4 linked regions of the Tamandua tetradactyla genome follow. The protein of the gene in region 1 interacts with the protein of each later gene in a biochemical or structural test. Links are inferred from orthologs where the notes say so. Each region holds a gene or a part of one and is shown on either strand. Other genes may lie near its edges.

Region 1 (6,897 bases):
TGGCCTCAGTTCTCCTACACGGAAAATGGGGATAATGATAAACCACAGGAGGCAGGGGAACATCCCAGTTAAAAGCGACAGTTCTGGAGTGAAGCTGCCAATGTTTGGAATCCCTACTCTACTACTCACACAAGCATCAACCTGACTGTGCCTCAATTCCTTCGTCTGTAAAAGGGAGGAAATAATCGTTCATTGGACGATGGTTATGAGGACTGGATGAGATGATTCTTGTAAAGTAAGCAGCTCAGGGCTTTAGGAAATGGTTAATGCTCAGTCAACACAAACTTTTATTACTATTCTAACTGCCTGTGCCACATGGCTGTTAAGAGGGTTAAATGAGATAATGTATGAACACCATCTGGTATGCAAGAAATGTTTGCTTGAAAATGAATGTTTGCCTTATGGGAATGATTTAGGCAAAAAAAAGTGAGGAAAACTCCCAACAGCACACTCCTACTCAAAAAATAGTCCTTGGCCATACATCAGAAGGTTGAGGAACAAATGTATATTTATATTTTAAGATAAAACAAAGATTAAGTATAAATGAATGAATGAATGAATGAATGAATAATGCCATCTGGCTCATCTCTAGAAAGGGCTTTTCAAGGATATCTGGACCAATCCTGCTGTTTTATGGATGGGAAGGCCCAGAGAGAGGTAGTGACTTGCTTAAGATCACACAGCAAGTCAGGGGGTAAATGTGGAGATTTCCTGTTCAGTTTGTGGTGGGGGCAGCAAACTCTGCAGTACAAATCTCCACTCTTTGGTGGAGGGCTGGAACAGGCAGGGTAATGGGTGTGAAAAGCTGCTGAGAGAATCCATCAAACCAGGCAGGAAGTGGACAACAAACTCAGAAAGCGAGATTGGGGAAGGGCAACAAAGGTTAGTCTGTCCCTCCCTGGGCAAGGTTCAAATTCAGAGGTACCTGGGGTAGGGCTCTGAGAGGGAAGTCAAAGGAAGGCAGATTCTCATCCGGGGGGAAGAAGAAGAAAGCAACAAGAAGCACTTGATTTTAGGCTTCCTAAACTTTAGTTTCCTCATCTTTACGATGGACCTGGTGAGGCCTATCTTGACAGAGGGCAGTTGGAAGATACGAAATAGCACTTCGTAGACACAACCCCTGACACATAGTAGGTCCTCAAGAAAAGGCAGCTTTCTTCTTGCCTGCCTGCCTTCCAGCCCAGGGATACAAAGAGGAAAGAATCGTCAGTCTATTAAGCAAGAACTGACCGTGGGCAGAGGCTGGATCACACCACAGATCTGCAGATGTCAGGAGACAAAGATCCCATACAGACCATCTTGCCCAGCCCCCCAGAGGCCCAGAGCAGGGATGGGACTGGCCCAAGGTCACACAGCCTGTCTGAGCAGGGTCAGAATCCTACTGAGGCCTCCCAACCCTTTTACACTCTGGCCTCTCTTGTGCTGGAAAGTTTCTTTCATGGAGTTTGTTTTGAAGGTTGGATGGGAAGAAGGAAACAGAAAGAAGGCCAGTGTTCCCCCAGCCTAGCTCCAAAGTCATGCCTGGCCAGCCATCTGGCCAGGGTGAAGGATACACATCCCTCATGGCTTCCAGGGTGGGCGCCCGCAGAATGTCCCGGATGCCAATGACGTTCTCATGGCGGAAGCGCAGCAAGATCTGGATCTCCCGCAGTGTGCGCTGGCAGTAGGTCTGATGTTCGAAGGGGCTGATCTTCTTGATGGCTACACGAGTCTTGCGCACGTGGTCATAAGCTGAGCTGAGAGGGCCAGGGAGATGATGATGGTGTGGCCTTACAAAGGGGGAGTCCAGAGCCTGGTGGCTGGCTCCACCCTAGCCTTGGCAGGGAGGGGAGGGAGCAGGAGAGGGCTCTGGCCAAGTCATAAACAATGCTGGTTCCTTCCTGCTGGTGAAGGGTTGGGATCTCCAGGGAAAAGGCTGGGGAGCAGCCAGGAGGCCCTTCGGTGACTTTACAAACAGAGGAAGAGACTGACCGCTCACTGACTTCCCCTCTCCTTAACCCTCTTCCATTCCAGTTGCCCTGACTCACCCTCATCCCCCCCCCCACCGCCCTTTCCAGAATGGGCTCTTTCCACCCCAGACAGGTTCAGGGGGTAGAAGGTGAGTGAAGGACACACAATGAGGCAGAGGGAGTTGGAGGAGGGCCTGGAAGGAAAGGTCAAGGCAGGGGCAGGTCTCAGGGTGAGGTACCTGGGCAGCAGAGCAGTTCCCAGAGGAACAAAGGCCCAGAGCAGACAGGGCGGCTGGAAGAACTTATAGATCCCCTCCCAAAAGATGCAGGGGGGCACTCCGGGTGCTCTCATCACTCACTGGGTCCCTGGTCCCCTGCCAAAATCCTGCCCCACCCTGCCCAGCCCCAAGCTCTGCTCTTCTCTCCCAAACTCTCTGGGACAGCCTCACTGGGAGATCTAAGGCCTCCTCTCCCCAAAGGAGGGTCCTTCACTCCCCCTTCACTGAGGATATCACCTCCCCAAGAATGAAATCTTTGCTTCACCCCAAGGGCCCCCTTCCCTCCCATGGTCCCCACAGCTTCCCCACATACACTCAGATGCCCCTCCTTGCATTATAGGGGGGTCCGTTCAAAGCCTCCGAGGCCCCTACCTTAAAACGTTCGCAGCACCCCGCCCCCCCGCCCGCCCCCCAGAAAGCACTCAAAGGCCCCTTCCCCCCGGACGCTCCCCGAGCCTCTTGAGTCCCTCGCCAATTCAGGACGCTCTAAGTCTCCAGGTCTCAGGAAGCACGCAGCACCCCACTCCCTCCCCTCCCTCGCTCTCGGAGCCCCCTCCTCCTCGATAACCCCCTCCAAGAACGCCCCCTCACCTGACCATGCCGTATGCGCCCTCGCCGATGTACTGCAGCTGCGTGTAGCGCGGGCCCACATCGAACGGCTGTCCCTTCACTACCTCCACTTCCCCCGAGACCCCCGGCCCGACCCCATCAGCTCCCCGGGGCTCCCTGCCCCCGCCCCCCTCAGCCGCCGCTGCCGCCGCCGCCGCCGCCATCTCCACCTCTCCCCTCCCGCCCGCCCGGCGGCTCCGCCCGAGGCCCCGCCCCTTCCCGCTCGCCCTGTCACTCGCGGGGTCGCGCGCGCCAGGCCCCGCCCCCGGGCACGCCCCGCCCCCGAGGGCGCCGCGCCCCCGCCGAGCTCGAGCGAGGGCCGGCGACCGGTCACGTGGCCCGCTCCTACGCGCGCCCGGCTTTCCCGCCGCGGGTGTGGTAGTCCTGGGCGCGACAGCTGGGGTCCGCGAAGAAGGGCCTGGGGGGAGGGTAGAGGGGGTCAGTGGCACGGCCAGCCCAATGCGGCCCGGCCCGTGAACTTCTCCGAGGCCACCCAGCGAGCATGTGGTGGAGCCAGGACGTTGCGCTGACCGCGAGGCGGCCGGGGGTCGCGAGACGGAGCCGTCCTCTCAATCCGCTGCAGCCCGGCCCTGAGGATGAGTGAGGCCGTCGGTATTTCCCGGGGGCCGTGTGAGAGGGCTTCCTGGTGGCTGTGGTCTGCCCTGTGCAGATGCAGAAACTGAAGCCTCGAGAGGGGGCCGGCACAGGCGAGAGCTGGGGAACCCTGAGGGCCTGGCCCCCAACCTAGTGGCTTAGGGACAAAGGCCGGACATCCTTAACCTGGGGAGCAGGGGAAAGGCCAGAAAGCTGCAGGCAAAGTTGAGTGGGTTTGATTAAAATTCGCTAGCAGGCTCTTCTCAAAAAACAAAAACAAAACACACACACACACAAACCAGCAAAGTAGGTAGTGTTTTTGTTGCTGATGGAGTTGGCAAAATTGGAATCCTGGCAAGATCATCATCTTTCGAATCTGTACCAGATTTTATAATTCTGATATTCAGACACTCAAATAAGAACAAATCACGTTTTACAGATGAGGACTCTGAGACTTGGGTTAACTGACTTGGCTAATGTCATAGCAATAATGACAGCTGAGACTCAAAATGATGTCGTCTGTTGAAGGGGGCGAGGCTCTCTAATTTCTTATTATCTCTCAGAACCATGAATTGTTAGAACTGGAGAAAAATCCCTTAGAGACCACCCAGCCTACCCCCTTTGTTGCACACTGAAGATGTGAGCTGAAAGCTTCACAAAAACCCATATCTCCTAGGCTTCAGTAAGTAATCATGTTGTTTATTTCTTCCTGAGTAGCTAGAAGTAGGTTCTTGTATGCCTTCCAGATCAAGAGACAAAATGGAACAGTAATTATGATTCTGAAATGGCTCATAATTGAATTCACCGCTAGGCAGTCTGACTCAGATGGGTGAGACTGAGTGGCTGCCTTTTCAATAGCTGGCACCTCTGAAGGTTCAAGAGGTGCTAATCAGAGCAGTGTTTTTTTCAGTTATTCATTTAGTGAACTATAAAATGGTGGTGCGAAGCTCTAGCTAAGCTCTGTTGAAAAATTACTGTACAGTATAAAATTAATGGAGAGGAGCTCTCTGGAGTCAGCTTGCCTGAGTTAGAATCGCATCTTTGTTACTTACTCCCTGTGTTTTTTGGGGGGTGGATTATCTATCATCCTCTTTACTTGTGAAGTTTATAATTTACTAAAAAGATAAAATGTACATATATAAATCAATTTAATTCAGGGTAGATGGAAGTATACCCCCCAAAATTGAAAACAGACACTCAAATGCATGTACAATCACGTCATAGTGGTGTTATTCACGATAGCTAGAAGGTGGGAACAACTCATATGTCCATCAACAGTTGATTGGAAAAACAAATTTTGGGTTATATATACACTTACAAGCATGCACAAATAGAATGGAATATTATTTAGTCATAAAAAGGAATGAAGTTCTGTTAAATACTATGTGTGACTGAACCTTGGAAACATTATGATAAATGAAAGAAGCCAGACACAAAAGCGCACGTATTGTGTGATTCCACTTATATGAATAATTCAGAGTAGATAAACGCTTGAAGACAGAGAGCAGATTGATGATGGCCAGGGGCTGGGGGGGCGGGGGGGAAGGTTGGGGAATAGGGAGTTACTGTTAATGGGTATGGGTTTCCTTTTGGGATGATGACAATGTTTTAGAACTAGATAGAGGTGGTGGTTGCAGGGCAGCATGAATGTACTAAATGCCCCAGAGTTATTCGCTTTAAAATAGTTAATTTTATGTAATGTTAATTTCATCTCTATAAAAAATGATGGATGGATATAATATGAAGCGTGGGAGCTCAAGGGTGAGAGAGGTCACTCTGGAGAAGTGAGGGAAGGATAAATGGAAGTGATATTTGAGCCATTGAAAAGGCAGGATTTCAGCAGGACCCAAGAAAGGAAAGGCAGCAGCATGAGCCAAGGCGGAGAGGCAGGAGCTTGGCTTGTCCAGGGTAGCTGGAATGTGAAGAATTAAGAGTTCAGGCTGGAGAGGTAGGATGGGGGAAGACTGAGAAAGGCCTTGGATTCTGGCAAGGAGTTTGGATCTTACTCAGTAAGCAGTAAAAACCTTTGAGGGATTTTTGCCAGATCATTTTGCAACTGCAGGAGCGTATAGTGACTCAGAGAAAACACCATGGAGTTCAGCACTGAGCCAGGTTTCTTGAGTGGGAGTGAGTTTCTCAGCATAGGAAAGGCTGATATATCTGGAGGGACAATTTGCCACCTCTTGCTGCATTTTTGAGGTTCATTTTAAGGGTGTGGTACGGAGACTCCCCTCTAGTGGTTGAGGTTGATATTTCCTTGGAGGAATGGGCTGGTATTTCTTAGTCTATTTAATTGATTCATATTCAGCTTCTATAAATTGAGCATCTCTCCTTTGCCAGGCACTTTTATGTACCATATCTCCTGTGATCTTCCCAATAGCCATATGAAATACATACCAGTATCTCCATTTAACAGAAAAAAGTGCAGGAACTTACTGAAATTGTAGAGTTGGAAGGGAATAATTTTCTCCACCAGGTAGTTCATTACTTTACAGCTGATTGCATCGTTAGTTTTTCTAATGGCCACTATTTGGCTTAGTTTTGTCCTCTGGATCTACCCAGATTAAATCTTAAACCCAGTTCTTATCTTTTTATGATTGCAAGGCCTTGTTTTTTCAGAGCACAAATGAATATTTTGATTAACTCAACAAATCAGCACGGCCCAAGAAGGCAGCAAGTGTGCAGGAATGGGGTGAGAAGACATTTAAACATTTATCAAGGTTTAAGTACTGACCTTTTTTTTTTTTTAATCCAGAAAACTTCCACTATAGTTTTCTTGTGACTCCTCTTCAAATGTTATACAGTAGGTATCCCCAAACAACTCTCCTTTGAAATAAGCATTCTTTAGCTGGCCCTTCTCTGAAGTCTTTGTAATCAGTTCTGCCTACCCCCTCTGAATCCTTCCCTGGACTAGCCTTCTGTTCTGGTTTGCTAGCTGCCAGAATGCGATATACCAGAAATGGAAAGACTTCTAAAAGGGGGATTTATTAAGTTGCAAGTTTACTGTTCTATGGCCATGAAATTGTCCAAATTAAAGCAAGTCTATAGAAATGGCCAAATTAAGGCACCAACAAGATGTTACCTTCACTCAAGAAAGGCTGATAAAGGTCAGGGTTTCTCTCTCAACTGAAAAGGCACATGGCGTACATGGCAACATCTGCTAGCTGTCTTTACAGGCTTCTTGTTCCTTGAAGCTCTCCTGGTGGTATTTTCCGTCATCTCCAAAGGTCTCCGGCTGGTGGACTCTGTTGCTGTCCCCAAAATATTTTCTCTTTTAAAGAATTCCATTAAACTAATCAAGATCCATCTGGAATGGGAGAAGTCACATCTCCCTCTAATCAAAAGTTAATACCCACAGGGTGGTGCAATGGTGGCTCAGTGGCAGAATTCCTGCCTACCATACCATGCTGGAGACCTGGGTTTGATTCCCAGTGCCTGCTCTTGAAAAAAAAAAAGATTGAATGAGG
Region 2 (7,589 bases), on another chromosome or scaffold:
CTGTGAAATAAACAGAAAACTGCAGTGCACTGTTTGTCAATAAGTAAGCTTTTTACTCAAGAAAATCCCATTTCAGTTATATGCATGTCTATATACACACACACATATATCACACACACATACTGGGAGACTAAGTACTCAATGGCAAAGGAAGATTTTTCAGTTTCTCCTGCCAGTCTCCCACTATAACCATTATCCTGATGCCCGCGGGCAATATTCACAATTTTCCTGAGGTCATTTTTTGCAATTTCTCTAGGGCACTCAGCAAATACCAGACATAACCTTTTACATTTAAATGAGATTAATAAAATAGAAAATATTGTGGGGGGAAATTGCTAAAACCTAATCCCCAATAACATCTGCCATAGCTTCTTCCAGGTTGATTTTTTCCCCTACACCTACCCCTCACTCCAAATTAAACCAGAAATGTTGCTTTTTAAAAAGTAAAAATTAAATAATTTTAATTTATTTCATAAACTGCTTTTTCCCTTAACTCATAAATTTGATATATTTTTATGAGAAAGATTTATCAGTCTACAAAATCACATGTATATTATAGTCACCACAAGCAGCAGCTGTTTTGGAGTTTATGTTAAGCAATTACTCTTTCCAAGTTTGCTTCTAATGAATTTGGACCTCTAATAAACAGAGGGAACTGGCAGAGTTCTAACTTAAAATGGGGTACAGAAATTCTCAACACCCAAAAAGAAAAGGAGATGTAAAGGCAAACTGCTCCACAGGAGTTTAGGGTTAGTCAGAGTGGCTCAGTTTAAACCAGGGGGAATGAATTTCCATAGTGGGAAAGGGTTCCACTCATACCAGTGAAATACACCATGCTATCGGCAGAAACTGCAAGGAAGATGGGAAACAGAGATGGAGATCAGGACTCTAGGGTGTTAAGTAGTTCAAAGGTGTGAAAAGTTTCTTAATCTAAAAGCCTCCAAACTTGGTTATTCTGAGCTAAATCTGCTCAGCAATAAAAATACCCAAGAAATGGGTCTGAAGAGAGTCTGAAGTAGCCACCAGTCAAATATGGATACAGTGTTAAATTGTTTGCAAATTGTTTCAAAACAAAGTTTCAAGGTTTTTTAGGATATTGTTCTAATTTGACAATTAAGGGTCACTTCTCTACTGCACACTATTTCACTGCATAGTATGAAACTTTTTTTTATTGGCAATTTTTAGAAGCTCTTTGAGGACCCAGATTTATATATATATATAAAAATATGCTAACAGGATATTTCTCCTCAACTTAATACAATCAACTTTCCTAATAAGCTGATACAACCCTGAAGATGAAAGAAGTCTCTTTCTTAGTCATTATAATACTTTAGCTACACAGACACCCCTGAAAATGAGATGAACAGTCATTCTCTCAACCCTATTGTACTTTAAATCTATGTCCACTTTCATAAATCATGTGTTGAATCCTCAGATTTTTTTTTCCCAGTAAATGATCTAAGAGCCTGATTTCATATTCTCTCTCTCCCCCACTCTCTTACACACACACACACCTGCACTCCCCAATAACAACACTTCCTTTGAAAAACAGAATGTCACTTCCTCAGTCCAGAGGCCAGAAGTCCCTTGATTCTGATCTGGGGAGCCAAGACAGGAAACTCTGGTAAGCTTCTGCCTCTCCCCCCATGGACAGCCACTGCTGCAGCTGACAGAAGGCAGGGTCTATTCAGAGCTCCCTTGATGCACTGCAGCTGGAAGACAAGCCCTCACTTCCAGACTATGGGAGCAATCCTAGAGCCCAGCACCAAAAATCAGTCGTAACAAGGGCATTTTGTAGGAAGTGAAGAGGGCGAAGATGGGAGACTTTGAGGCATTTTAGCGACCTTACTTCCATTTCCAAACTCCGGCCACAACTCCGGGGCTGATTTCTGCCAAAATTTGTAACGCACCGTTTTGTTCTTTGACCCACCAGGCATACATCCTCGGGTTAAAAAACAAAAAAACGTCCTATCTCCTCACAGCTCAGCACCAGGCTGTACCACATCCCCCTTGATATTGCCAGTTTCTCACGCAGAGGAGAGACGCTGTCCCAGCAATTTCAGTAAACACTGTGGGTTAGCACCACCTGGCAACTGAGAACCTTGATCTCTCCCGACCCCAGACACCAAGGTCTACACAATACAAAACCCAGGCTAGTTACAACGGACCAAACTGCAGTGTCACACTCGGGGGAGGGGTATGCATGTGAGAGACATACGGAGTAAAGGGAAAGAAGGGGAACAAACAAATGAGTCACTTAATACAAGGGCTGCACATGCCGCTGACGCTGCCCATGATGCAGAAGCTCTGGACTGGAAGGAAGCAGACGGCCACCCGGGAGGGGCGGGCAGAGAACGGGAAGAGGGAGAGGGTGTGAGGCGCGTCGCCCTTTGTGCGGGACAAGCCGCGCGGCCACACAGCTTACTCCCCCCTTTCCCACCCACTCCTCCGACCCTGCAGGGGGAGACCGCCCAGGGTTACTGTGCTTCCTAGCCCGGGGAATCAACTCTCTCGGTCTCCCCAAACAATCAATACAAACTTCAACGCTGTGTTTAGTTTACAAGGAGGCTGGCTGGGGAGGTGCCTCCGACGTGCCTGCCCAGCGCAGAGGGTGCCGCAGCCTCAACCAGCCGCCCCGCCCCTCGGCGGCGCACCTGTGACAGGTGTGCAGGTGCCCCACACACCCCGGCGCCGCGGGGCGCGGCGACCACTCCTCGACCCCCGCAGGCCCGGGGGAAGGTCCGCCGTCCCCATTGGCGCGGCCCCTACGGAAGCCCCCACCCCTCTGTAGGCCGCCGGGCGCCCCTAGCTCGCGCCCCCCGCGGCCGCTCCCGCTCGCCGCCTGCACTCACATAGCGCCTCAACTTCTTCTCGGGGGGCGATTTCCTCAGCCAGCCGGTGCACACCACGTCGCCGCCGCCGCTCATGCTGTCGGCGGACTGGAGCCCGCGCCGGGTCGGGCGGACAAGGGCGCCGGCCACTGGGTCAGTCGACCCGCGGTGCGCAGCTCGCGCGGGAGGGAGGGGCGGGGCCGCCAGGGGCCGCCGGGCGAGGACGAGGCGGCGCGGGCCCAGCCGTGAGTGCGCGCACCCGCTCGCCCCCGCCCCCGGCCCGGCCCCGCGCGCGCACTCGCTGCCGGCCGGGAGGGGGCGCCCGGCAGGAAGCGGCCAGCGCGCGCTCGCCACGCCCACAGCCCGCCGCGCGCTCCGCCTGCGGACAACGCCTCGCGGCTGCCGGAGGACCCGAGTCGGCGCTAACGTCCAAAGCTACCTTCGGCTGCGCTCCCGTCCTGGTTTTATTTATTATTGTTTTTCCTTTCCCCTCTGAAGTCTTTTCCAGAAAATCCGGAGGACTGGGGGAGACAGCCGCGCCCTGGAGGGGAGGTGTGAGGGGAGAGGAATCAGAGGGCTGTCGGTCGCGGATCAATTTTTCAAGGAGAGTTGACGGGGAAGGGACCCGAAGGCTGCTCACGTTTCCTGTCCATTCCCAGAGTTTCAGGTTTCAGCGGGTCAGGTTCTGGCTGAAATTAGTGATCCGCTTCGCAGCAAGAGTTTCATTAACTCTCACACTCCCTTGGCGGGAGGAAAAAAGGAAAACACACCTACGAAGTGCCGGATGATTGTCTTAACCTACAAATTGGTGGGCAGTAGTGTTCCTATTTTACAGATAGCCTAAGGTGTCAGCACTAGTACAATGCAAAGCAAGATTTCTAATTCCGAGGAGGTAGGGGTAGGTTTGTGCTTATCTGCTATTTAAAATGGGGGGACTGCTTTAAAGTCTATGAATCAACTTGGTCTTTGTCAGGAAACAAAGTCCAGCAAGCTCCCATACTGCCTCTGGGAAAGTGGCTCAGTAAAAGAACATCTGTATGACTTGAAAAGAACTGACGAAGCAAAAATTAGTCAGTGTATATCATGGCAAATTGGAAGACAGAAAAAAGAAAAATTGGGGCAAAATTCCTCAAGTTCCAACTCATTTATATAGGCTATGAGACCTCTTTGGGACTCATTTGTAAACTGGAATATAATGATACATCTCTCCATGAGCTGTGGTAAGGTTTAACTCAGATAAAGTATGTGAAAGTACACACTTGACAACACCAGCACTTCAGGGGTAGGGTGGAGAAAAACATGAAAATACTTTTGGTAGCTCTTTTTCATTCACAAAGTTCCTTAATAAGCAGCCTTAAGCGCCCCAAGTTGTCTTTCAAGTGGATAGTAACCCAATGGGTTACTGTACTGCCACACATGAACTGGAGAAGCAGCATCTCTTAAAAAAAACACCTTTCAGAAAGCACCTTTCTCTCCCAATCTTAGACTAAAGCTATTTTGTTCACTTCCCTGTCTCCAAGCAGCTAAGCTACTTATTTCAAGGAGCGTGACTTTCATCTTGGTTGAGTTAGACGTTCATCTACTGGGCGCTTAGCTTTTCCTGGCACCCTGGGAGATTTAGAGAGCTGCTCCCTTGACCCCAGTATTTCACTGACTTTCTTCACTGTCCAGTATGCTGTTGAATAGAGTTTAAAGCCAGCACTATAACAATAGCTGGAACCAGAGCTTCCTTAGCCTTTCAGTTCATAGATCCTTAAGCCACATGCAAAGGCCACCACCAGAATTACCTTAAAACTCTAGGAGAACTGAGAATAAAGGGTAACTAGGTCAGCAATTTTCATGTAACATTCTTTGAACCTATCTTAAAATACTATTTAAGTAAATGATCTAATTTCTACATAATTGTTTCACAGAAATGTCTTTTTTGTTTGTTTTTATAAGGTGTTTAAACAAGCTCAGCTAAATTCAGGATCCTGTAGCCACTTTGTGCATGAGGGAGCTTGAATTTAGTGGCTTTCAACATTATTTATGAAGAAAAAAAATAAAGTATCTCATATTGAACGTTATTGTACTGCATTTTTTAATGTAACAGTGCAGATCTTGTTAAACACATGAATCTGTATAATCATGTTAAATGCAAATAAACTGGTTCATGGGGAAAAAAAACCTATGACATAAATATCAAAACACTCAAAGTGCCAGATTGATCAGGAGGCGGTGACTCCCAACCAAAATAAAGTAATCTTACTGACTATTCACATCTGAGTCATGGTGCCAAGTCTCAGGGACTGCAAGGAGTCTGAGAAAACTTCAGGATTTGGCAGCAGCTGAGGTTTATGATGCAAGTCAGGCATCCATATGCCTTATCTTTCCCTAGAAGAGTCGTAAGTCTTCTATTACATACCTATTAATATTTATATGATTCATGACAGATGGGAGATTGCTCAGCAATGATTACTTGGGGGATAGGTCACATTCAGCCAAAACTCTTTAAGGTCTTAGAAGTCTTAGAAGACTTCAAGCTTTTATTTACAATTCCATATGAGAATTATGGCCAATGATGGGAGAGGCCTTAAAATACGAGTTACAGAGTATGGGCATATCAGGAAGTCTGCGAACACCACCCTCCTTCCCCAAAGGTTGGAGAAACACCACCCTCTCTTCCGTGCTCTTCTGTTCCCTCACTTCCCGAATTCTCTCTCTGCACCTTCCTCATCACTTGGCTGCCAGCGCCCAGTACAGGCTGCACTCAGAATGCTGGCTTCACCCTGTGTGTCTCAATCTTCGGAGCCCGGGATGCCTGTCAGGCCTGAAAACAGCTCTCGGACAAAACGTTCCTGTCTGGGCCTTTACTGAGTACTCCCCACCCGCTGCCTTTTTAAAAAATGTTCCCTGGTTTTCGCTAAGGAGAAAGGGAAAACAAATTACTTAAGTAATTTATTTACACGAAGACAGGCGCCACCTACCGGAACCAGTTGGGACGACATTTCCCCCACCCTCCCCGTCGCAACCGGTGCGGACATGCATCGCTAGTCTATAATTTAGGCAATTTCTATTAAAGACCATGGGGTAATTCCTGGGGGGTGGGGGTGGGGTGGATTAATGACCGGCTCCAAGGAGTGTTTTGGGTCATTAATTTCTTATTCTCATTACATTCCAAGGAAATTACAATCTTATGTGTGTGCATGGGGGTGGGGGGCAGGGAGGATCGTGGGGAGGGAGCAGTCACACCTGGGAGGGGAGCATGGGTACCAATTTTTGCCCTACCCCCCTCCACGCCCGGGTTCTAAAGGGTGCACTGTGGCTTTTAGTGTCGTCAGCGACAGCCTGCATCCGTGCCTGTCTGGGAGCTGAGAGTTTGTGGCCAGCGGCAGGTGCATGGCTGGTGGAACGCTCCCAGGAACGGGTTGGAAGGGCTGGAAGGAGAGCTGTCCTCAACTGCACACCAGGCTGGTGTGATTAATACCACCCACGCCAGGCCTGACGTCAGCGATTGGACTGGGGGTGGGGACGGTGTTTGTGTTGTAGCCCTTCTGTCTTTTCTCCCCTTCAGTTTAGTTGACAGGTTAATTTCAGAGCTGCACATTGCTTGCCAAGGTCAGTATGACCAGCTGAGTCACCTCAACAGAGGACTCCCAGGACACTGTTGTCTTTCAGGCATCTTGATATGTTTTGCCTCTTTAACCCCAAGTCACTTAGAGCCCAGTTGGTTCACTCCATCAAATTACCCTCTGATTTAAATCAACTCTTGGATCTGCTGGAACTGAGATCTGGAAGTGGGCTTGGGGTATGGTTGAAGACCTATTTGGATTTCCCTCTCTGTGGATGGCTGCTAACAATATGAGAGTTACACTACATCAGTGGGAGGCATTTTGGTAAAGTTTGTGCCATTTAGTTTCCCATTGTAGAGAATCAAAACCTATGCTAATTGCTTTGTGGCAGGTTTGCTCCTGGGACATTTCTGCTGCTACTGGTCAGCTTGGTAACATCGTGTTGCACTGAACCCACTGCAAAATCAGTTGTCCATGCTCTCCCAAGAGCAAAGACTGTTGAACGCTTTGCATGCTGGCCCCTTATTTTCTTCACAGAGAGAACTCCTATCTCAAATTATATCTTAAACCTGTCAATACTCCCTTTCCTAAAACTCACCCTGCTCATTCCCCAGCACAGTTGTTCATTTTCTTTGTATTCATACTGCACCTAGTAAAAATAAATATGATTATCACACTGTACTGCAAATATTTGTTTACTTGTCAAGGAACTGTGAGTTCCTGGAGGGTAAATCTCTCATATTTTTCCAAGGATATTTTAGGTTGGTGTCAGGCACACAATAGATACTCATTAAAGTTTTGTGTATGTGTGAGAATGAATGAACCAAAATGCTTGAAGGATGACAAGTCCAAGACATCCTTCAAGGGGCTGGGAACCTCTGAAACATCCAGTTCTCTCAGGTGCACCCATAGCAGAGAATTGTATCTGTGAGGATACTTACTATATGACTGGAGTGTTTAAATCTACAGGGACTGGCCTGGATGGAAGGGCTAAGCAGGTGGAGGTAATCATATGCGGTTCCACTTTAAAAAGGTAGTTTTAAAAACTACGGCTTGCCTTCTTTGATCTTTTCTGAGGTTTTTTATTTTTATTTTTTACCCCAGGCTCCAGAGAGCTAATTGTGTTAATTCTTGATTTCCAAACCCTGACACTGACTTACAGAATCTCCTTTCTGGGACTAAATCACTTTGTGGCTGCTCTGATCTG
Region 3 (7,387 bases), on another chromosome or scaffold:
CACCTGACTTTCCCCCGTTGACTAGCCCACTGAGCTTTCCCTTCTAGACCAGTCTGTTCACCAGCACATCTTTCTTTGGGGTCACTTGTTTAACACTGTTGATTTTTAAGATTTTTTTGGATATATTCCATATCCTCACCATGCGTCTGTTCAGCCTTATTTTCCTGGCACCCATCTAGTTTTCATCCCGTCACTTACAGGCCTACTCAGTGCTAACTGCGTAGACCACGATTTGAGAATCAACATAACTAATTGTTATGTTTGAATGCTAACAATTGCTGCTCTGAGCCGCTCCTGGTAGGCTTGCCACATCGCTGCCAGTTGTCATGTGTTACAACCAGAGGGAAATTCTGCTTGCGGACAGCACGTGCAGCCGGGCTGCCCTGCCCGCCCGCCTTTCCCCACTGAGGCAAAGCCCACCCCTGGCACCACAGTCCTTCACCTCCAGCCCCTACAGGCTCTGCCTCTCTGGGGGTCCCTGACTGATGCCGACCTCAGCAGTGTTTCCCAGGTGCTTTTTTGCTCCATTAAACAGCGGCTGGGGCCGCTGGCACCAGGCCTGAGTTAAGCTCCCTTAAGTACTGCTTCCTGGCTGTTAATTAAAAATTATACGGAGAGTAAGGGGAATACTTTCTTTTGTTCTTTATTGACAAGGAAGGACACTAAGGAGAGGATGAGGGACTCAGACAGGGGACAGGGCCTTTCGGGTCCAGTCATCTGGAAGGAGACGCTTTTATCGGGCAGGGCCACTCATTAACGGTGGCATTTAAATGAGAAAGAGAAACAGAGGGGACGGGGGTGGGGTGGGGGGTAGGTCCTCCCCCACGGCAGAGGCGGCAGCGGGGTGGCTGGACACAACTCCCCCCGCCCTGGAATTCTGCTCTGCTTCTAACTGATCCTGTGTCTTGTAGGTAAGGTAATCACCATCTCTGTGCCTCAGTATCCCCCTGTGTAAAAACAAGAGGATCTTAAAAGGGTAACTGTCACAACAAGTGAGGATGTCACAGCGCAGCCAGGACTATTGAATAAAGTGATGCAGAGGGCGCAGGGCCCTGCCAGTGCCATGCGGACACAGATCGGGCAGAGGGGCGGCGGCAAAACCTGAAACGTGCTAAACTTTTAAAGAATTCGGAGACTCGCTAAAGAGCAAACAAAATGACCTTCAGTTAACATTTAAAATGTCAGAAATAGGAAAAGCCCCAGAAAGGTTGATCTCAATTCTTTTTCAGCTTTTACTGAATTCCTTTGATTGCGCAGATAGTGAGCGCCAACATTTGACCAGGAAGCAGAAGCCCAGGTTCAAAATCATGACAGAGCAAGTAAATACCAACTTGTAAGACAAGGAACTTATCTTTGATTTTCTTATCTTAGGGCAGACAGAAATGTAGTACTTTAGAAAGATTTTCCAAATAGATTTGAACCAAATTGTATTTCTTTTAAACAAGTTAATAAAAATAGCCATTTCAGAACAGTTAATTCCTTGGGAATTAACCATTATTGAACAATAAATTTTAACTTGATTTTTTATAGATAAAAGACTATTTTTATCTTACTTAACCCCCCTGCAGTTCCTCCTTGGCTGGTGGGAGCTCGCCTGCCAGGCTGGGTGGGGTGCTGTGGCAGCCCAGCTCCTCCCAGGCCCTCCACAAGGGTCCCTCTGCTCCTTGGGGACTGTCCTGTCCCTACCCAGTGTCACCCGGCTTTCCCCCTCCACAAACTCAAAGATAAACGGAGCACATGCTGCTTCTCCCACGGTGGCCCTTGGAAAACGGAGAGCAGGCCCCAGGAGTTCCAGAGTCTAAGTGAGACCCTTCCCGGCCCCAAAGAAACACGTTTCCACTCCCACTCGGCCTCCGGGGCAGAGGGCTGGAGCAGGCCGAGTCAGAGAAGCCCAGAGGGCCTGGTGCCACCCGTGTCCCAGAGAGACAACTTCAGGCGCCCGTGAGCACCGGCATAGGCAGCAGAGGGGCGGCCCTGTCCGGGAGGTGAGGGCAGCGACGCAGGGTCGGGCGGGAGGTGGGCGGCAGGTGGGCGGCAGGAGGCAGGGGGCGGGCGGGGGCCCTGGGCGGGGCGCATGGGCCGCCCGTAGGTTGCAGGTGGCGGGGCGGGACGCAGGGGCTGAGACCGGCGGGCGGAGGCGGAAGCGCAGGGCCAAGTCGCTGGTCGCCGCGCTCGCTGCTCGCAGGGAGACCGTGCTCGGCTCTCGGGAGGGCGCGGGGCCCGGCCAGGTGAGCCATTCCAAAGCGCCAAAGGCAGGCGGCCCTCCTGCCTGCCCCACGCAGCCCGGTGGCCGCGGGCTGAGCGCGGCCTGGAGACCGTTGTCACCTCCCCCCGCCCCAAACCGAGACTCCTCCCCGCGCGCCGCCGCCGCCCGCTCCCCGCTTAGGCCTCGCGGGGTCCCCGCCACCCCAAGACGGCGGACGTGGTCCGGACGCCACCGCGGACTCTGTCAGGGCTTCGGCCCCTTCTGCGGCGTCTACACCCGTGCCCTAGTTCCTCGCAGGGAAGACTCGGATGGGGGTGGGTGGTGAGGGGTGGGAGGGGGCGGGCTCGGGAGGCCGTGGGGCTGCCAACTGCTCCCGTCCCGCCCGCGCGGCCCGGCCACCTGCGCCGCTGCCCGACTGTGCCCCGAGCCCCCTGACCGCGGGGCAGCCGCCCTCGGCTGACACGGGCCAACCCTGCCCACACGCCCCAGAGGAGCTAGGCTCGGGGTTCCCTCACGCTGGTCCCCGAGGTCACCCGGTTCCCCGCACCTCGCGCTCCGAGAAGGGCTCGGGAGACAAAAGGGCCCCCGGCCACCCCGCCCGACCCCGGCGAGGGTCACTCACCCGCGCTGCGCTCGCGGCTCCGAGGCCGAGGGGCCGCGCGGGGGCTGGCGGCTGCCTCCTCCAGGTCCGCGGGCCCCCAGGCGGGCTGGTCTGGGAGTCGCCGCCGCCTCAGCCGCCTGCTTTAGTTGGGAGACGCGGGCCGCCAGGGCCGTAGGCTCGTCCTCGCTGGCGCGCGGCGGGGTGACTGACAGCGCTCTCCGCGGGCCCGGCGCGCACCCGGTCGCCCCGCCCCGCCCCCGCGCCGCTTCCTGGCGGCAGGTAAAGGCCGCCGCCCCCCGGGCCGCCCCTCTTCCCGCCCCAGGCGCGCGGGCCAAAGTGACCCTGTGAGCACACAAGGGTCAGCCCTGGGAGGGGTGGGAGGGCAGCTTTGCCGGTGGACCCCAGCCTTGGAGCCTACCCTCCGAATCGAGCCCCGGCCCCTACCTCCCCGAGGAGGAGTCTCAGAGAGCGTCTCCCCCTCTCCCGGCTCGGCCACCGTGGGGACAAGCACGCCCCCACCGTCCGGATCCGCAGCTCGCACCTGGGGTGCCCGCCGGGAACCTGCTGGGCAGAGCCCGGCCCTGTCCGGACCTGGCGCTCCAGGCCGTTCTCCCACTGACCCTCTGGGAACACCCACTGCTCTGGGGGTGCTGTCGGTATCAAACCCGGGCCTTGCAGTTGCCCCTCTAGAGGCAGGTTGTTCCTGGGTTGAACCTTCACCCACCGGCAGTTCTGCTGGAGAACCAGAGTTTTCCCAAAGGGGGCAAAGAACATACACCGGGGGACCCACCTTCTTCTGGAGCAGAAAGGGCTGGCTGACCCCGAAGTCCCCATGCTTCCTTTTGGTAGGTGGTGTCTGTCCTGCCCTGGTTAAAAGGAAGCCTGCCGTTTGAACGTGAGCCAACTGGACTCAGAGATCTGGAGGGAAACCCTGGTGGGCTCTGTGAGCCTTCCCCTGGACACCTCCCCTGAATTCTTGGTCTCTTGCCGCAGGTGGGTGGGAAAGACAGGAGATGGGGGAGGCCGGGCACTAGGGGAGGCGCTTACCCGGCTCCCGCTTCCCTTCCCTGGCCAGGGAAATGCACCTGGCGCTGTCAGGAGGCCCTCTCAGTTGTGGCCCCAGCAATCTCTTTCGGGGTCTCAGGAACACCCTGCCCAAGCCTGACCCCCCCCCACACACAGGGTCCCCGCAGGTCTGCCACGTCCAAATGCTGACTGCATCAGAATTAGCGAGTGTGTGTGACCTCTCCAGAGTGATAGAAAGCATCGCACGTGATCCTTTCCCGAGAGGAGCTGAAGGTGCTCAGGCTGGAGGCGGGAGGTGAGGAGGACACCAGCTTTTGGGCCTCTGCTACCAGCTCTTCAGTACCTGGTAAGTGGGGTGGGCCTGAGGGACACGGGCCGGGGGTGCCAGGGCCAGTGACATAACCCAACTCCAGTCACTCCCCCCAAACTTCTTAGGCCTGGGGATGGGAACACTGGGCTGTAGCTGGGACGTCTGCTTGGACATTGCAGACAGTTTCTCCCTCCCCCCGAAATGTGTCTCTGGTCGTCTCACAGTGACTCAGAAGAAAGCAACAGAGACTCGTGCCCTGCGAGCCCAGGGAGCTGGGCTTTGGCCCGTGGTGCCAGCTGTAGTCAAGTGGCAACCGGTGTCCTTCCTCTTTATGCCACTTCTGCTAATTTTTCAGTGGTTTAAAGAAATAGGACACCAGCCAGCAGTCACCTCTGTGAGTTTCAGGCCTTCCAACCCTGCCAGTTAAAACTCTTTTCAGAATGTTTATAAACTGCACCATCGCCCTTTGCCGGCCCACACGGATCCTACGAAGAGAGCGTTGAAGGCTCTGTGTGGGCATGAGGAGGTTGGGTTTAGAAGCTTCTCCTCGCCTTGGAAAAGGACCTGGGTCCAGGGCGCCCAGAGAGGCCCCAGGGAGAGTCGAGCTTTATATACAATGACAGCGCGTTTTTTAGCAAAATGACTGAGGTTCATTTGACAAAATGTGATCTTTTCCTCATGCTGAATAAAATTGGAAGGACTCTTGTTGGGAGAAGTAAAGGGTAAATTATCTGAGTCTCGCGTTGCAGACATTTCTAGGGAAACAGTGTAGTCCCTCCCCAGGTCACATAACCAGGGGCCGCGACCTGACCACATCCACGCGCGGAGTCCGGGCTGAAGCGGCAGGTCAAGCAACCTGAGGAGCTTCTAGCGACTTCAGAGCACATGTGCTTTGAGCTCTCCTTATTCTCCTCCATCTGGGAAAGGACTGGGCTCACTTCCACCCCCGGCTTGTGTGTGACAGTGCGCTGGTGACAACGCATTGGACAGGGTCACGGCGATTGCTTCTCCAGAGGGTCCAGGTAACAACTAGAAAGTCCCGACACGGTCACTGAATTCAGGAAGACAAGGTGAGTGACCCCTAGGTGAGGAGACAGGGATGTGAAGCCGTGGTCGGGGCTCAGTGCGCTCGACTGAGCACGTGTGCGCCCAGAAACCCGCTCGCTCCTCGCTGACACGGGAACTCCGGGGTGGGGGGAGGAAAGGAAAGGGGGTTTGTAGGGCCTGTGACGTGGGAAGGAGATTGTTGAAATGATATTTTTATAAACTGTTTTACAAAGTGTATATGTGCGTGTGTGTACCCCTATATGTATAATATTTTTCTTTAACCATAGTCCCATAACTTCATTAATGAAAATAAAAGCCAGCAGCTCTCTGTAGTGATCAGGATCACTCTTTTAATGAACTACAGGGGTATATATTATATATTGTGTATTTGAAAAGAAACTGTACATATGCTCACTAGTAAACACACTGTGGTAGTTAGTTATCCCCGTCAGTTAACTGTGGTTAACTCTGCTATTTGAATTGCTTTTATTTTATTATTATTGTTATTTTTTTTTTGCAAGGGCAGTCACCGGGAATCGAACCCGGGCCTCCGAAATGGCAGGTACCACCACCGTACCACCTTGAATTGCTTTTAAATAATTTTTTTTAATTAAAGATGCTATGGATTTACTGAACACTCATGCATAAATACAGGATTCCCATACACCACCACATTATTAACACCTTGAATTGGATTAGGACATTTGTCACAATTGATGGCAGCACATTTTTATAACTATAATATTAGCTACAGCCCACAATTTAACTTAGGGGCCACCATTTGTGCTGTGCAGTTCCATGGATTCTTAAAAATTGTTTATTCTGCTGCCTTCTGTACAACCTAACATTTTCCCTTTCAACCATCTCAGATATATATTTCTTTTAGAGTTTCTTTATTTTCCAGTTTGCTCCCTGATTATGTATGGGCTGCTTTCCAGTAAACCTCTTACATTCTTTGGGCTGCTTTGCCGCTCCTTTAAGAAGAGGAGTTGGTTTGGCAGTTTGCATTTTCCAAAAGGCCACATCGTCTCCAGGTCCCCAGCTCTTCTTACCTTGTGGGATGTGCTGGGCCTGCTCTCGGGTGCTGCCCCCAGCCTGGGTGAAGCTTGTGGCTGCCCCTGACCCCTGGCCTTCACCTTTTGGACTGATTGCTTTTGGCTCCCCCCCCCACCATCCCTCGAGGAAGACCCCGCAGCCCCGAAGACCCACAGACCCGCAGCCATGCATTCGTTGACAGCCCAGTGGGGACACTCGCTCCCAGCCTGCCCAGCTGCCCAATATGGGTGACAAGACTGCGGAGGGGATGGTGGAGACAGGAGCCTTGAGGGCAAAATTCTGTCCCCACCCCCTGTTCCCTCTACTTCTTATAAAGATGAATTCTGCCTCCAGAAAAGAGATTGTTTTATTTAACTGACAGTTTTACTTACCAAACACTTTACTTTCATTCACTCGTTCATTTATTCCACAGATATTTTTAAGCCCTTAAATGAGACGTGTCCTTCAAGGAACTAAAACCTCTGGTGTGGACAAAACAAGGGGGCAGTGAGCATGACAGGGTGTCAAGAGGGTGAGCTCTGGAGGCCCGGGGACACAGATGGAAGTGGTGAGGCCAGAAGCCTAGGGAAGCTGACCTGCAAGTGGGGGTTTAGATGGATGAATAGGAGTTCTCCAGATGAGAAAGGGTCAGGGCTGGGCTAACTGGCCCAAGGGGCAGCATGTGTGAAGGCAGCCAAGGAGAGCTGCAGGTGCTTGGGAGAGGAGGCAGGGGCCAGAGGTGCAGTCCCCACAGTGCCCACGATGAGAATAGAGGAGTCAGAAGGAAGTTGCTGTGTGCCTGCCTGCCCTATACCGCTCATTACTGCATCTCCCCGGCCAGCGAGGCAGTAAGCCTTTTCCTGTCTCCATCTCATGGGGCAGGAGCAGAAGTCCCAGGGTCACAGCACATGCCAAGATGGTGCAGTGAGTGCGTGGCCAGCAGGCGGCGGTGGGCACCCCATGGGAGAAGCTGGAGCCCCCCTGCCCCAGGCAGTGGGCAGCGGCATTGAGTGGGCGCTGGGGAGGCAGAGAAGGCCAGCTCTGGGCCAAGTGCTAACTCCAGTGACGCCATCGGGGAAAGACAATGAGATGCTCCGGAGGAAGTGAGCAGAAGGGGCCGCACCTGCGGCAGGAGGGGGACACCCCGATTAAAAGTCCCAGG
Region 4 (7,618 bases), on another chromosome or scaffold:
TTAGATTTTGGAAAACCATGTCACTCCACCGTTTCAGGAGTAAACAATGAGGCATTATTGTGCCTATGGTGAAGAGTGAAGCAAAACATGGCAAAATCTGTATTTATTTACTTATTTTAGTATATATATATATATACACAGGATCATGAAAGCAGTGGACAGAGGCAGGAGGCCCTAGTGACAAACCTGCACCCTACACTATCTTGCTAGACAGTCTTGGTCTAGTCAGTGACTTCTCTGGACCTCAAGATCCTCATTTAAAAAAATGAGGGGTTTGAGGGATCTTGAAAGTCAAGTCCAACTCAAAAATGCTCTGATTCCCCAAAATATCCAATATGGAAAGGAAGTGCCAAATGTGGATTTTGAAGACGCTTTTTCAGAGAGTCTTTTAGCTTTTTATAATGTCCAAAAATGAGAAATTAAAGAGGCTCCTCTTGTGTTTCTAAAGAACAAACTGTAAAGGAAGGAAATACCTGACTATGGGACAAGTGCAGAGTGGCAATATGCTAATGTAATACGAGGAAGGATTGGGCAAGAAATAAATTTACCCAAGCAACTTTTTGCTGATTCAAAGCACAAAAGCTAGCAACCACCAGGGCAGAGGCCAAAATAAATTTAAAAATAAATATTTTGATCTATCAAATTAATTTAAAACTAAATTAAGTATTTCTTTAGTATATGCTTTGGTACAACGTCTTTAATTACGGGTGTGTGCTTGCTTTTTTAACCTCATAGGCTTCTCTCCATGAAATTCCTCCCAGAGACGGGGAGAAAACGGCCAATAAACTGTACCTTTTACAATAGTCCCTCTGGACGCCCTTTAATGGTGACAAGGTCCCGTCGGGCCGGGGCCCACGCAAGGCCCTCCAGCTGCTCCTGCCTTGTCCAGGGGCGCGACCCGCGTGGCAAGGCTGCGGTGCAAGCCCCGAGCGGCGGTCCACGCGCTCTGGCCTCCGGGGGACCCCGGGGCAGGGAGGGCTGCGTTGGCCGCCAGGCCCCAGGCGCCTCGGTCCTGCCCGCTAAGCCGCTCGGCTTCCCCGAGGCTTCCCTGCTCTCAGGTGACCTGCACTGGGGACTGAAGTTTCCCCGCGCCCGGGCTCCTCCGCCCCAGGCGCTCGCTTCTCGGGTTTCAAACATCACCTCCTCAGAGGCGGCGGCCGCACCAGACCCGCGAGACTGCCCCCACGGCCCTCCCCGGCCGCTCCTGCGGGGGCTGCGGGCCCGAGCCCGCGTCCCGGAGGCGGGGGCGGTGCAGCTCCGCGGCCGGGATCGCCGCGTGCCCCCTTCGCCCGGGTGTGCGGGACCCGGGCAGGCCCCAGCCGTGCACCCCGCCCGTGGGAATGCTGTGGCGGGGCACCGGCGTGCCGGCCGCTGGGCGCGATCTCAACACCCGCGTTCTGGGGAAGGCAAAGGCGAAAACAGGGCGGGGGGCCGCCAACGCCCCCAAGGCGCGATTCAAGCGCCGGGAAGGAAGCAGCTTCCCCGGGGAGACGACGGGCCGTGCGCGCCGGGGCACGATCAACGCCGGCCGCGGCCACCTTTCCCGAGCCGGACCTTCCCCAGGCGCTGGGCCGCCTGCCCCGAGGCCCCGCCCCGGCCCGGCCCCGCGCCCCCGGCCCCGCGTCGCGGACGCTCCGCGCACACGCCCCCTCCCGCCCCTCGCGCGGGCCCGCGCCGGCCGGCGGCGACCAGCTCCGGGAAGGGCCGGGCCGCAGCCGGGCTGGCGGCGCATTCGCCCGCGCGGGGGCTTCCACGGACGCCGGGGGGACCCTGGGTCGCGCCGCCCCAGCCCGGACGTGGGGCGGCCGTGAAAGGGCCTCGGCCGCCGGCGTGCGAGGCCGGCCCGGAACCCTGCGAGGCCCCGCAGGGAGGGGGCCTCGAAGACCCCCGCCCCTCAACCCCTCCCCGGGACCCAGAGGGCGGGGCCCGCCGGGCAGGTGCGGGGATGCGCGCCCCGCCCGCCCACCACCCCCCCGGCCCGCGGCTCACCTGGCCCAGGCGCAGCAGCAACAACAGCGGCGGTAGCGCCCAGCGCAGCCCCCGAGCGCGCCGAGGCGGTCGCGCCCCCAGCGCCGAGGGCTCCATGCTCCGCGCGCCCCGCACCGAGCCCGGGACGTGGGAGTCGGGCCCCTCGGGCCGGCGCCGCCGCCTCCGCCGCCGGCCGCTCCCGCCGGGCCCCGCTCCGCCCGCCCCGGGCTTCCTCGGGGACACGGCAGCGGCGGCGGCCACTCGGCGAAGCGCGGCGCGGCGGCCGCGAAGGCGCCGCGTCCCTGGGCTCGCGGGGGCTGCGCGGGGCGGAGCGAGCGGCGCCCACCCCCCGCGCTCGGCGGCCCGGGCCCGGTTCCCGCGGCTCGGCGGGCTCCCGCTGCCTCCTCCGCGCGTCATGCGGCCCCGGCTGCAGGGAGCCGTGGCGAGCGCTCGCCGCCCTTCCCCCTCCGCTCTGAATATTCATCGCTTCCTCCCGCCCCGGCCGGCCCGGCCCTGAGCACCCCCGCCCCGCCCGCCCCGCGCCGCAGCCCCCGCCCCGCCCCCCGCCCCGCGCGCCCCGGCGGCCCCCCCGTGCCGCAGCCCCCGCCCCGCCCGGCCCCCCACATTCCAGGGACTTGCGACCCGGGACGCGACGCAGCTGCTCGCCCGCCGGGAGTCCCGACCCCGCTGCGGGTCGCCACACGCTGACCCGACCCCTGCCGAGGGCAGAGCCCGGCCTGCGAGGGGCCCCTGGCCTGGTCCTTGTCTACCTTGGGGTGCACACGCCCCGAAATTGCCGACTGCCTGCTGCGCTGGGCTCTCCCCACCCCCATCCGGGGCGAGGCCCAGCTCTGCCCCCCCCCCCCCCCCCCCCCCCCCGCCGCCTCGACCCCGGCAGCCCCGCTAGCCCCTGCGCCTCGCGGGGAGGGTAGTGCTGGCACCTGGCTGGAGGGACCTGCTGGGGTTAAGTGAGATGGGGTCACCCTAAGCCTGGCGCCTGGCCCCCGGTGGGCCTCAACAAACGTTGGCTCTTGGGGCCGTTCCATCCCATTAGCAAAGGGTGCGTGACCTTAAGATTAGAGTTTCCTGCCAGATACTGTTACTGCAGGGCTCCTTCCCAGAGAAAAAGCTGAGGCTCGGGAGGGCACCGGACTTGCCCCAGGAGGCGTGGGGAGAGAAACCAGGAGCAGTGGGGCGGGAGGTTAGTCCTGACCAGGGAGGGCTGGCACCTGAGCCGATCTGATGCTGGGTGAATTTCCACAGGCAGGTGAGGCATCTCAGGAAGTGGGAGCAGCCGGAAGAAAACCAGGAGGCAGGCGCTTCAAGTTGGGGGGGGGGGGGGGGGCGAGGCTTCTTTTGGGGGACAATTTTAAAAGTAGAATAAAGAGTTTGGGGCAGGTTCTTGTGTGCAGTGGCGTGGAGACCAGCAGGTGTCCAGCACAGCCTCCAGGCCCTTTGGCCCTCAGGTTCACCACCTGCAAAGGGGGAACTCACCTTTTTAAAGGGTCTTGGGGTGGGCCGGGGTGGAGTGGGGGTGGGCTGGGGTGCAGTAGGAGGTGGGGGTAGGAGGGTGAGCGTTCCCATCCACTGGACACACAGATAGGCACAGAAGGTCAAGGGGACGTCACCTGTTGGCTTGCACACCTTGCCATCTTTTGTTTAAACATTATGCAATGATCATAATCCACAAAGCACCCTGGCAGAGGCAGGAGGTTTGAAAGGCCTTCCTGTCCGCCAATCGCAGAGAGAAAGCACGCCCGGCTTGCTTCAGCTGTGACCTGGTCCTCAGGCTGCCGCAGACCTCCACAGGCCTACAGATCTCCACCCCCACCCAGACCCCTGCGGCTGCTGGTGTCTCCAGGAGCTCCTGCGTGCACTTGGGTCTTTTCCTGGGTATGCGCCCACGTTAAGTGCTGCTTGGAACCGATTCCCCTGCTGCACGTCGATGAAAACGAAAAGATGGTCTTTTCAGGAATGGGAGCGGTGACCAGAGTAGCAAGCTACCTGTTCCTCCGAAACCAGATCACAGTGGGTTAGTGCCCTGGGCAGGAATGAGTTCAATCCCGGGTGGGTGGTGTAAGCTCCCTGCAGGCAGGGGTTGGGCCCACCTCGCCTGCTGCTGGCCCCTGCTCAGTGCTCACACAGCAGGAACCCATACGCTTGTGCAGACGCCTGGTTGTGCAAGAGCACGCAGGGTGCGGAAGCCCATTCTTCCACAGGGACGAGGGAAAGGGTTGTCACACACTCTGCCAAAGAATTTGAGACCAGATTCCAGCTCAGCGGTCTCATCCCTGGCTGCCGCTTGCCCTGCACACCTTCCCGGGCGCCCCAACTGAGCTGCGGCTGCACCTCGTGCCCCCAGGGCCACCTGCAGCCTGAGGCCTGTATGCCCGCCTCCTCACCCGCCTCGGCGGGCCCGGCACCTGGGACCCTCAGGCGGCCTCTGTTTACCTAAATGAATGAATTCCTCTGAGTGCACCCTGGAGCACTAAGTATATGCATGTTTCTCGTCTCTCTCCCACCCGCCCACCCCCGTCTCCCATACACACGCACACACACACACACACACACAACAACAACAACAAATTCCATTTACTACCAGCTTTTCAGGAATAAATCTGTGCAAAGGGCAGGGTAATGCTCCTTGGGAACACCTAAGGACACCGACCTTTTACCAGGTCCACCCTCAAGTACTGGCTAAAGGGTCCCTGAGCATGGGGCCGGTGAAGCCACCAGAGTGCAGAGTTCCTGGGGCCTGCCCCAAACTGCCCACTAGGCGTCACTGGGCTTGTCACAGTTTGGCTTCCCCTGCCTTTCCTTAAGGCTCTGGGGGTAATTTCTGCTGTCACGCAGGACTGGGGAGTGCTGGCCGTCCCGTGACTGGCCTGCACAGGGTCCCTAACAGCAGTAAGTGCCATTTATCCAGCACCTTCTAGATGCCAGGCCATGTCGTAGTACTTCACGGCTCCTTACAGCAACCCTACAGAACAGGTGTCGTTACCAATACTCCACAAATGAGAAACTGGGTCTCAGAGAGGTTTAATTGCTTGTGCGAGGTCACACAGCTTCAGGGGGCAAAGCCAGGATTCGAACCCATATCTGTCTTGCCTCTATGCCGTTCTACCCGTCCATGTGATGTCTGTGGATGTGTTAATATAAAATGCTTAAAAACATTCCTCTAGTGTTGGCTGCTCTGGGTGCTTTTATTTTTACTCTCTTGTGTCTCAATTTCCATACTTTTAAAGTGGGAAGAGACAGAGCATGTAACTTTCTTCCTGTTCTCCCAAGAGTGGAGGCCAGGAAAGGCCACGGCCTCATGGCACGTCCCCACCCCACTGGAGGCTGCCCTGGCAGCAGCCTGGAGCCGGGCTCTGGCCCCGCGGGGTCCCTGCAGCCTGGCAATCCTCTGTCTATTTCTAAAGCTGCCGTGAGCTGCCGAGCCCTGCTAAGCGGAAGGGAATGTTTCTGTGAGTCTGATTAGCTAACGCTGCAGGCTTGGCTGCCTGAGACCTTCCTGCCTCGGCCACTTGAATTGAATCAGAATGGAAAGGAAGGCTTTTTTTTCCAGTTCATCTTTATAATAGTAGCCGGATGTGTTCCTGTGGGCTAATGATTGGGCTGTGGTCAGAGCCCCGTGTCTGTCCACCAGACAAACAGCCCCCTCCCCCCGCAGTGCCCTGTCACCTGCCCATGCAGAGAGCGTGGGTGCCCCGGCTGTGTCCTTTTTGGTTTCCGACTTTAAGCATTTGCAACAGTAAGCATTTTTCTAATTCTTTTTTCTCCTAAGTGTGTGTGTGCAGATAGGAGGCAAAGTTTGACTTCCAAAGAGACTTGCATGGGACAGATTTCGGCACAAGGAAGCAAGGAAGCCTACAGTTGCCGCTTCAGGGACTGGGAGTGCAAAATCGGGGGGGCCCGGCCCAAGGCCCCCCACTTCCCACAAGGGCAGGCTTGGGCCAAGGCTCCTGGGGCACCTGCAGACGTGGGGCTGAGGAGACGAGGGGCTTTCCTTCCAAGGCCTGAGAACAGGTTCTGCAGGAAGAGCAGAGGTGGCAGCACGGCAGGAGGCCATCAGGTCTGCACACAACAGCCAGCTCAGATGGAGAGCCGGAGAGCCGGCCGGAGGGGTAGCGACCGGGGAGCGTCCACTCAGAGCCTGTGTCCCTCAGCTTCCTGGCACCGGGCTTCTCCCAGGCTTGTTAAATTTTTTTCATTAGCAGATTGGAAAGAAATGTTCTTTATTTTCAGATGGAAAAAAAACATGTAATCACGTGGTGTTGAATGTATGGGACATGCGGGGTAAGAAGTGAACTTGGAACAATTGTGTCATGTGGAATCTTTCTGGCAAGGAAGAAAGCACCCTGCCATCTCAATAAACAAAAACAATTATGTATCTGTAATATATACAAATTGTGCCCATAAGTGACAGATGAGTGTATATAGAGATATTGGCCAGACACGAGCTGGAGCCTCCCTGACGGCAGCGTGCTGTGTGGGTGTGGCAGGGGCTGAGACATCCGCTGCCCGAGTTCGAAGCCTGGTCCTCCCACTGCACAGCTGCGGCCAGGGCAGGTCACGTCAGCCCACTCCACCTCAGCGCCCTCACCCACGAATGAGGTGGTGGTGTCACCTTCCTCAGGGACTGTTACAACCATTCAAACAACAGTGAATGCCACGCGAACACTACCTGGAAGGGAGTAAACACTTGGCGTTGTCAGCTGCTACTGGGGAAATGCACATCAAACTGCAGTGAGATGCCCTCCCACCCCGAGAGGGTGTCTGTACTCAAAACTGGAAAGCATTGAATGCGGGCAGAATACGGAGCCACTGAAAGCTCTGTGTGTTACTGGTGGGAGCGTGAACCGGCGCAGGCACCGTGGAGACCAAGTCCGCAGCTTCTCAAAAAGTCAAGCGTCCAATACCAGGGCCCTGGTGGTTCCACCGCTCGGGGTATATGCTCAGAAGAAATGGAAACAGAGATCAAATGGTACTTTTGTGCACCAGTGATCACAGCGGCACTCCTCACGACAGCACAAGGCGGGGCACGCGCGTCGAGTGTGGGGGCTGGCGCAGGGCTGCGGAGCTGCGCGCGGTGGCATGTGCGGTTCAGCCCAGAGCAGGAGCGAAGGGCCACTCCGAGTTCACGCCCACGGGCCTGGAAGACAGAATGCTGAGTGCCATGAGCTGGACACAGAGGACCAGAAGAGGAGTCGTGCAGACGCCACTTGTTTGAAATGCCTAGAATAAGCAAATTCGAGAAGATCAAAAGTAGGTTCGAGGTTTCCGGGGGACAAGGAGGAAGAAGGGGAGTCGTGCCTATTGAGGCCGGGGGTCTGGGGGAGGGAAGGTCCGTGGCGGGGGGCCAAGGTGATGACGGCGCAATATCACGATGTAAGAACACCACCGGACTGTCCCTTAGCAATGTTAAAGTGGCTAGTGTTGTGTGCTATATGTTACCAGAATAAAAAAGAATTTCAGTGCATCCCTGGCGGCTCTCCAGCAGGAGGGTCTGGTGAGAAGAGGCCTGGGGTTCAACGTTGATGCTCCTGCTGCTCAACCTTGGCCCCCATATCCTCAGCGGACAAGAAAATGGTGATTTATTGACTCAAAAAGTTACGGCGAGGGCAGTGCGACGGTGGCTCCCACCTGC

The links.
Region 2: of the proteins of MAPK3 (region 1) and GAB2, one has a biochemical effect on the other in vitro, tested with the Homo sapiens proteins (2 studies listed by BioGRID). The link is inferred for Tamandua tetradactyla from reciprocal best matches to the Homo sapiens genes MAPK3 and GAB2.
Region 3: of the proteins of MAPK3 (region 1) and MBP, one has a biochemical effect on the other in vitro, tested with the Homo sapiens proteins (5 studies listed by BioGRID). The link is inferred for Tamandua tetradactyla from reciprocal best matches to the Homo sapiens genes MAPK3 and MBP.
Region 4: of the proteins of MAPK3 (region 1) and PTPRJ, one has a biochemical effect on the other in vitro, tested with the Homo sapiens proteins (2 studies listed by IntAct, with this or other methods). The link is inferred for Tamandua tetradactyla from reciprocal best matches to the Homo sapiens genes MAPK3 and PTPRJ.

What each region holds. Positions count from the first base shown.
Region 1 is NC_135349.1:24,645,722-24,652,618, forward strand, and holds the start of MAPK3 (mitogen-activated protein kinase 3), read right to left. Parts: upstream 3,001-6,897; coding exon 2,819-3,000; intron 1,737-2,818; coding exon 1,554-1,736; intron 1-1,553.
Region 2 is NC_135334.1:66,268,948-66,276,536, reverse strand, and holds the start of GAB2 (GRB2-associated-binding protein 2), read right to left. Parts: upstream 3,001-7,589; 5' UTR 2,928-3,000; coding exon 2,853-2,927; intron 1-2,852. UniProt on the Homo sapiens protein: Adapter protein which acts downstream of several membrane receptors including cytokine, antigen, hormone, cell matrix and growth factor receptors to regulate multiple signaling pathways.
Region 3 is NC_135344.1:5,464,926-5,472,312, reverse strand, and holds the start of MBP (myelin basic protein), read right to left. Parts: upstream 3,017-7,387; 5' UTR 2,829-3,016; intron 2,229-2,828; exon of another isoform or gene 2,129-2,228; intron 1,478-2,128; exon of another isoform or gene 912-1,477; intron 1-911. UniProt on the Homo sapiens protein: The classic group of MBP isoforms (isoform 4-isoform 14) are with PLP the most abundant protein components of the myelin membrane in the CNS. They have a role in both its formation and stabilization.
Region 4 is NC_135334.1:124,793,723-124,801,340, reverse strand, and holds the start of PTPRJ (receptor-type tyrosine-protein phosphatase eta), read right to left. Parts: upstream 3,015-7,618; coding exon 2,910-3,014; intron 1-2,909. UniProt on the Homo sapiens protein: Tyrosine phosphatase which dephosphorylates or contributes to the dephosphorylation of CTNND1, FLT3, PDGFRB, MET, KDR, LYN, SRC, MAPK1, MAPK3, EGFR, TJP1, OCLN, PIK3R1 and PIK3R2. Plays a role in cell adhesion, migration, proliferation and differentiation.